Linked DNA regions of Oryzias latipes. The main gene of each other region encodes a partner of the protein of the gene in region 2 in a complex. Links are inferred from orthologs where the notes say so. Each region holds a gene or a part of one and is shown on either strand. Other genes may lie near its edges.

The links. Proteins that work in one complex are often made in the same cells at the same time.
Region 1: the proteins of atp8b1 (region 2) and tmem30a are in contact, whole or in part, in a cryo-EM structure (PDB 7VGI), measured with the Homo sapiens proteins. The link is inferred for Oryzias latipes from reciprocal best matches to the Homo sapiens genes ATP8B1 and TMEM30A. Residues at the interface, in NP_001361314.1 of Homo sapiens: Thr138, His359, Trp362, Glu363, Val366, Ser369, Ser370, Trp371, Tyr372, Leu373, Tyr374, Asp375, Gly376, Arg384, Ile388, Phe418, Asn420, Trp421, Asp422, Leu423, Tyr426, Lys430, Asp431, Thr432, Pro433, His939, Trp942, Arg946, Tyr968, Phe971; in NP_060717.1 of Homo sapiens: Lys24, Thr25, Arg26, Arg27, Pro28, Asn30, Phe33, Lys34, Gln35, Gln36, Arg37, Leu38, Pro39, Ala40, Trp41, Gln42, Pro43, Ile44, Leu45, Thr46, Ala47, Val50, Phe54, Ile57, Phe61, Ile64, Ile68, Ile75, Phe119, Tyr121.

Annotation. Positions count from the first base shown.
Region 1 is NC_019880.2:15,986,591-15,990,783, reverse strand, and holds the start of tmem30a (cell cycle control protein 50A), read left to right. Parts: upstream 1-1,379; 5' UTR 1,380-1,606; coding exon 1,607-1,855; intron 1,856-2,422; coding exon 2,423-2,542; intron 2,543-4,193. UniProt on the Homo sapiens protein: Accessory component of a P4-ATPase flippase complex which catalyzes the hydrolysis of ATP coupled to the transport of aminophospholipids from the outer to the inner leaflet of various membranes and ensures the maintenance of asymmetric distribution of phospholipids.
Region 2 is NC_019870.2:28,409,149-28,412,697, reverse strand, and holds part of atp8b1 (phospholipid-transporting ATPase IC), read right to left. Parts: intron 3,255-3,549; coding exon 3,142-3,254; intron 3,056-3,141; coding exon 2,891-3,055; intron 2,802-2,890; coding exon 2,690-2,801; intron 2,602-2,689; coding exon 2,526-2,601; intron 2,099-2,525; coding exon 1,963-2,098; intron 1,873-1,962; coding exon 1,750-1,872; intron 1,655-1,749; coding exon 1,498-1,654; intron 1,416-1,497; coding exon 1,192-1,415; intron 1-1,191. UniProt on the Homo sapiens protein: Catalytic component of a P4-ATPase flippase complex which catalyzes the hydrolysis of ATP coupled to the transport of phospholipids, in particular phosphatidylcholines (PC), from the outer to the inner leaflet of the plasma membrane.

The DNA of each region.
Region 1 (4,193 bases), on a different chromosome or scaffold from region 2:
GATGTTAAAGTGCTATATAAATAAAGATTGATTGATTGATTGATTGATTGATTGATTGAACATCATGCTGGTGGATCAAGTTTCAGACCCTTTCAGGGTCAAACTCATAGATTTTGGTTTGGCAGAGAAAATTAGACATATGCGTAGTGGAGCTACGATACAGAACATTTGCTACAGGGCAACTGAAGTCATCCTGGGTCTGCCCTTAGACCAACATGTAGATTTGTGGACAGTTGGCTACATTCTCTTTGTGCTGTACACGGGGACCTTTATTTATGGATGGGACACCGATTATAACATCATCCGAGCCATGGTGAAGATGCAAGGCATGCCCGAGGAAAAAGTTCTAAACCAAGGGTTTTACACCACAAGGTTTTTTACCAAGACCAAAGAAAACTCTCAGGATGTCTGGAAGCTGGACACACCCCAACAGCAAAGCAGGAAAAAAGGGAGACTGGTCGAAGACGACATTCAGTTCTTGTCCTGTGACCAACTCATCCACAGCTGTTTGGACAAAACAAAAATCAAAGAAGTGGAACAGTTAGTGGACCTGCTCAAGCGGATGCTAATGGTGGATCCAAGCAAACGCATCTCTCCAAGTGAAGCACTACAACATCCATTCTTCACGATGGGGAGGGTGCAGCCCACTGCTGACACTCACACCACCAACCCTGAAGAGCCACCAGCAGTGGAGGTCCACCTACAGCCTGAAGCAAAAGAGGTCACCAATCCTCCAAGACCAGCTGCTGTTTCCCAGGAATGTTTCAGAATGAAAAAGAAACCATGCAGGATTAATTTATTATTATTTATAATTGATTTATTATTATTATTATTATAATTATTGACTTATTATGAATATACTGTTATTATTTATTATTATTATTGACTTATTGTTGGGCTTTTCTAAAGAATTGAAAATTACATGTCAAAGAGGTCTAAAACTTCTAGTACATGCTTTAAAATTATTTTTAAAAATTCTTTGTAATTGTTTTTTGTAAGAAGTCCTGCTACTGTGCATTTTTCATTAAAGTTTGAGCTTTTAATGCTGCCTGTTTCTCTTATTTAACAACAACAAATTATTTTATGTATGTATATAAATGATATACATATATATTATATATTTATATAAATGTATAAATATATATAAACATAAATATATATATAAATTATATATAAGCTACTTAGATGCCACCAAAGGCTATAGAATGTGGGCGCCGTCGACCTCACCAAGATGGCGTCGCGCTCCACCACCGTCGGCCAGGCTTCCCAAGCGGGCGTGTCTCCTCTAGCGTTATAACTCATTGAGTTTGACACCCCTGCTCTAGAGTGCTCCTCTCGGCTACACCAAACATTCTCCGGTGACGTCACTGCCACGTAGCGCCGTTCTATTGGGCCAGCAGCTTCCGGTTTCTTCCCAGCCAGGATTAACGAAAGTTGTCAGATCGATACAAATATGAGTCGGCACTTTGACTAGACGGGGGGATAAGTTCAGTTACCGGAAGACTTCTTAGGTTCTTGTTCCACTTTTTTCTTCGCGTCCGAGATCCCCGCCTAGCTCCCAGCTGCCAAGTGTCGGGATTGTTTTGCTCGAAGCGGTTAGCGAACCATGATGGCGTCAAGCTACAACGCTAAGGAAGAGGACGGCCACCACTCTGGCTCTTCGAGTCACGGTGGACCAGGAGCAATCAAAAGCAAAAAACCGGACAATACAGCATTCAAACAGCAAAGGCTACCCGCTTGGCAGCCGATTCTGACGGCGGGCACCGTACTGCCGGCGTTCTTCGTCATCGGCCTCATCTTCATCCCCATCGGCATCGGGCTGTTTGTGACTTCAAACAACATCAAAGAGTTCGAGGTACCGTTTCCTAGTCGAGTTGGATCGTTAAAAGATCTACATGTCAATCATTCCAAATGCAACCAGTACTTCAGCTGTCAACACTTTCAAAGAAGAGCAGCTAATTGTGTCGCATTAATTAAATGTTGTCACATTTGTTTTTAAAGTAAAAAAAAAACCTCACATTCACATTATTTGAACAATTTGGGGTCATAAACATAAATTATTTTGGTGAGCTTCTGCTGTCTTGATATTTTGCAATGCATTGTGGGTAACTTTGTATCCAGTAATGTGGAAGTGTTCAAGTATGCAGTGGTATAAAAGGCTTATAGACTGTTGAAAAAAGGAGGTTAATTGACACGTAGGTGTCTATATATATATATATATATATATATATATATATATATATATTATAATGTGTGTAAAATGTAATATGTTTTGATTACATCAATCACATTGTGTCCCAATGGATTCTTGACAGTCATGACTGAAACATGCTATGTGCTTGATAAGAAGTCTATTAAAAGTTCCAGCACAATTTTGTTCTCTTGTCTTGTCATTAAAGATTGTTCTCTTGTTTTTGTTTAGATTGACTACACTGGTGTCGAGATTGATAGTCCATGTTACATATGTGCTAAGAACTTCAGCTGGAACAGCACAACATCATGCGTCTGTTCTGTGAACTTCACTTTGGACCAACCCTTTGAGGTTAGTTCTGGTTATTTTGTTACTAAATGAGCTTTATTCATCAAATGAATTATTCATGTCTTCAGCCGTATCACCGTGTGTCCCAGACACAAAGTACCCATTTGGATCTATTTAAGGTCCAAACTAGAAGGTTGTCGTTGAATGATGTTCTTATAAATTATGCATTCTGGGTTTTTAGCAAATCTCTATTGATCTTTCAAAAAAAGCTTTAAAGCTGTTTGATTTTTTTTTACACCTGCCAGGAAGATGCACTCAAATAAATACACTTTGGAAACCATTCTTTTTTTTTTTTTTTTTTTGCTGTGAAAATAAAAGCCCAAATCATTTGAAATTAGCTTAGCATTGACCGCTGTCTGCGGTGAATCAGGAAAAAAAGTGTGTGGAAGACCTTTTTCTATAACTTTTTGCTAAAATAATTTATTATAATAATAGTTAATAAAATGAAATATATATTTTTAATGATCAAAATGCTCCTTTTTTTTAACTTTTCAAGACATCTTCTTCCTGTTTTTAAACAGCAGCTCATTGACACAACTCCTGCAGAGTTGTCATGTATTTGCATGTCAGCATTTTTTGCATCTATTTGCTTTTGCAAAACAAGTGGAACAAAAAAAATCTGACAGCTAAGGAAGTGATTGACTTTTTTCTTCTTCTAGTTTTACAAAAGACATTTCTACTCAACAAGATCTATATTTATCTATATTTTATTTATATTTATCTATATTTTTATCTATATTTCAGTGCAGTAAACAGTTATTGGGAGTGGGGGGGGGGGCACAAAAGTGTACATATTCCAAGTCAAATCTGTGCGGTGTTGTAATTAAGATGAATTAAAATGAGTCAGCTGTTTCCTTTCTAAACATAAAGCTAAAAAAAATCCTGTGCTTTGATCATCTAATTGTCTTTATTTCTGTACCGTCTGCCAGTTATTGAAGTGGTTGGGATTCTTTGTGGCCTTTTAATGGCTGCCTGAGCAGAGCTGATGCCTCTTAGCGGAGCATGCTCTGCAGCGGACAGGAGAGCGGTGGAGTGCCAAAAGGCCATCGACAGATTCTCTCCTCTTTTCTGAGTGCTGTACTTTCAGGCAGTGCGGTCTCCAGCGGGCCCTGCTGTTGTACTTTATAGGATAGTTTACGTGGCTGTGGAAAGTCTGTAAAGATTCACTCTGAAAGTTGTTTTCATCTTTAACATGTATTTGGAGGACAGGTATTAAGAAAATTAAGTTCAAAATTGCATTTTGGAGTATTTCTTTATTCAAATCTTTGTGAACTTTATCGCTAAAAGAGCCCTTTGGACACGATACCATCGTGATGGCTGACTGACATCACGATGGAGAGACACCATGATGCCACGCCTCCGCCACGCTGCAAGTCGACGGCAAAAGCCGCGGTTACATGTGCAAAATATCTTGATCGGATCAATGGTCGGATTAGACTTCAACCGTGTACGTGGGCCCAGAATAACCTTTCTGATTATAACAAACATTAATGGTCACACTTTAGGTCAGAATAAATCCTTCGCACATGTGCAGTAGTGTTTGAAATGCTGGAAAAGGAAATGAGTTCCGCTGAGAGGCTACATACATAGATATCTGGCAGCTCCGTAATGTACTAGATGATCTTCTAAACATGCTTTCATTAATATTACGGTT
Region 2 (3,549 bases):
GGCGGGAACTGGAACACGCCATCGTAAAGCATCCCAAACACGCTCAATAGTTTACATGTCCAGTGAGGATGCTGGGATGTTTTTAGCTTCCAAGAATTGTGGAGAGATCCTTGCAACATTGAGCCGTGCATCATCACACTGCAACATTGAACCGTGCATTATCATGCCACAGCATAATAATGCACGTGATGTTCTTTGATGTACAGCACAACAACATCCCTTAGTACAGGGGTGTCCAATTCCAGGCCTCAAGGGCCAGTGTCCTATATGTTTTCCAATCAACCTGCCTTTGAAGCTCCTAATTGGCTAAACACACCTGATCCAGGTAATCAACAGCAGATGAGGCAGGGTTTCTGGAAAACCAGCAGGCTGCCGGCTCTCGAAGCCTGGAGTTGGACACCCCTGCCTTAGGATCTCCTCATGGTAGGTCTGAATTCAAAACGCCATCAATAAAATGCACCCGTGTTGGTCATCCATAGCATACATCTGCCCACACCACAACCCAAAGCTCCATGGGCCACTCAACCGCATTTTCTCTATGTGAAGGAGATGTGTTGCACTGCCTGAGGCAGATGGTGGTCCACCAGGTATTGACTGGTTCCCAGACTCATCTTTGAGTTCGCCTCATGACAAACGGGACCAAAAAGTAAAGTTTTGCATTTATATTTTTGATAACACTGCATGTTATCAGCCAAGTTTCTCTTAGTTCCCCCCCTCAATAGTGAAGGGAGAACTGCAACAAACAGTCGAATCCTGCTCAGGAAACATCGGGCTGCTGCTGTTTGTATGCAGGAGGTTTTTGAAGAATAAAAATAATAACAAAAATAATAATAATAATAATAAAATATTTAGTTTGTATTTTCTGTACAAAAATCTAAAACTCTAAACTCAGCTTGAGATTTCTTTTGAGGCCACATCTATAGTTTCTCCACTGGACTTGTCAGGTTTGATCTTTTGTTATAAAAACTGCTGTGAAGGAAATTGTTTTCTGAAGCAGCAGAAGTGAAACCACATCGATTCTGTGAAGGGTTCGGTTCATTTCATGTGGACATTTAGCTTTTAGAGAATACTTTCTGAAAGTCTAGCCTCCCTATGAGTTCCCCTAATTGTTCATTTGAGACACCCCCCCCCCCCCCACACACACACACACACATACACACACACACACACAGTTTGCAGATGGCGACTGACCTGTGAGGAATATCCGTTGAAGAAGGAATACCAGAAATGGACCAGAGTGAAAGAGAAGTTCTTGAAGAAGAAGAAACGCAGGAACTTGCACATCCGGATGTAGGACCAACGCCCGTGTACCAACAGGAGGCGCTCCAGGTAACGGAACTGAGCAAAGGCGTAATCGCTGGACATGACGGCCTGCATGCCCTCCTGTCCACTGATCCCCACACCGATGTCTGCAGCTGGAGATGGGACGCAGAACGGGTCAGAACCACCGCAAACGAGAAACTGGGAGGCTGGAGCCGCGTTGGCCTCTGAACTTACTCTTGATCATGTTGACGTCATTGGCTCCGTCGCCGATGGACAGCGTCACAGCCTTCTTGTACTTCTTTACCAGGCTCACCACATTCGCCTTTTGTTTGGGGGTCACACGGCAGCAAATGACAGCCTCACACTCACAGGCCATGTCCACAAAGTCGATCTAGACGGAGAAATGTCACAAACTCCTGAATCCCGGTCCAACAATAATATGCATCTACTACACTGAAACAGAAGGTCATGCTGCTCTGGTTTTACCTGTCTCATTTCTTTCTCCCAGTCATTCAATGGTTCTCCAGGGTTGCTGGAAGGTGGACGTCTGCCCAGACGATGGAGGCGAAGGCGGCGACGTTTCTTCTTTTTTTCATACAGAATCTCATTCTGAGAAAACAAAACTCATTCAAGACTACAGAAGGAAATGCACAGAAAGGTAGTCAACAAGATTTCCGCCAAAGTAAAAAAGAGACTAACCAGCCATCCTCCAGTGATGATCAGAGCGTTCTTGCCTGTCTCTGTGAAGAAAGGCTCTTCAGGAGTCTGTCTGGCTCGGCGAAAATTTGTAGGAGGCTGACGCCTTCTGGTGGTCTGACGGATCCTCAGCTTCTCGCTACAAACCCAAAAAACAAGAAGATCAGCCTCAAAGAGAAGCAACAGCTGCATGACATCAGATTTCCTTACAGTTACTCTGTTCTCCCGAAATAGGAACAATTGAAACATTAAGATAATAAATCAAGTTGAGAAAATAAATACATTGAATAAAGTGTCTTTAATCTCTGTCATCACAGTAACTTATCAGTAATTGTGGCTTCAGGCATCTTCTTGTGCTGTGAAACCCGACTCTCAGATGAGAAAGCAGGTCTGAGCTCTACTTTCATGTCAGTTAATTAGGGTAGAAGTTAGGAGTGGCAGTCTTCTGAATGAATCTCCTGATACAGGCTCCTGACGCGCTGTGAGGTAGAACTGGCTCCTCTCTGAAATCTGGACAGAAGGCGTCTTCACGGCTCCTAAAGAGGTCGAGAGGTCATCCCACTTACTTGACATCCTCTCCATAGTGGACTGTCATGTCATCGGTCAGAAGGGAGCAGGAGTATCCGATGTTCTCTGCCGTCTCTGGAGATCCATAAACAATAGAAACTCAGGTTTAAGCTCTAATATCTCCAAGTCGTTCCCTCCTGCAGTGTGAAGCATCAGAATTCACCTTTCTTATCTCCAGTCAGGACCCAGATCTTGATGTCAGCCTTGGCCAGTGTGGCGATGGTTTCTGGAACTCCATCCTGAAGCTTGTCCTCGATAGCGGTTGCTCCAATGAGCTAAATTCAAATGTTTAATGTTTTTAAGCTTTTTGTTTAGCAAAAGCTCCATCGTTTCCATCAATAAAGCAGCTGCCTTCTCTTCTCACCATCAGGTCCTTCTCCACCTCTTCATACACGCTGTCGAGGGCAGCTTCTCGGTCGCCCATGACCAGCTGGGCCTCTTTGTGTTTCCTGGACCAGGCCTCGTACTCATTTGCACTGATGTCTTTGTAACACAAGCACAGCGTCCGCAGCGTATCGTTGGCAAAGATCTAGAACAACAGGAGAATTCAGATCCCAACACCTTATAAAGGCAGGTAAGACATGGTTGTAGAAAGAAGGAGCGCCATGAACCCACATCCAGAGCCTCCTGAGTGGTCTGGCGGTGTTGGGTGTTTGTGGAGAGTCGCTCATAAATGACGGTGTCGGCACCCTTGCAGTACAGACGAATGCGACCATCAGGAAACTTCACTGAAAACAGAGAACAAAGTCAGACAAAAATCATAAATGAGAAATCCCGTTCCTTAAAAAAAAAGAAAAAAAACAATATTGGACATAATTTCCCTCAATATTTGTCCCATGTTTTAAGTTTTTCTAAAAAAATACTAAAAATACTAAAAAGCCATCAACCAAAAGACTAAACCCGGTTTCTGGTTTTCCTCCCGTTTCCATCAGCGTAATATGGCTACGTCAAAAATAAACTTCAACCTTTAATATACTTGGTTGAGTGACCGAAGGAACAGGGCAATTTTTTGTAGTTTCTGAA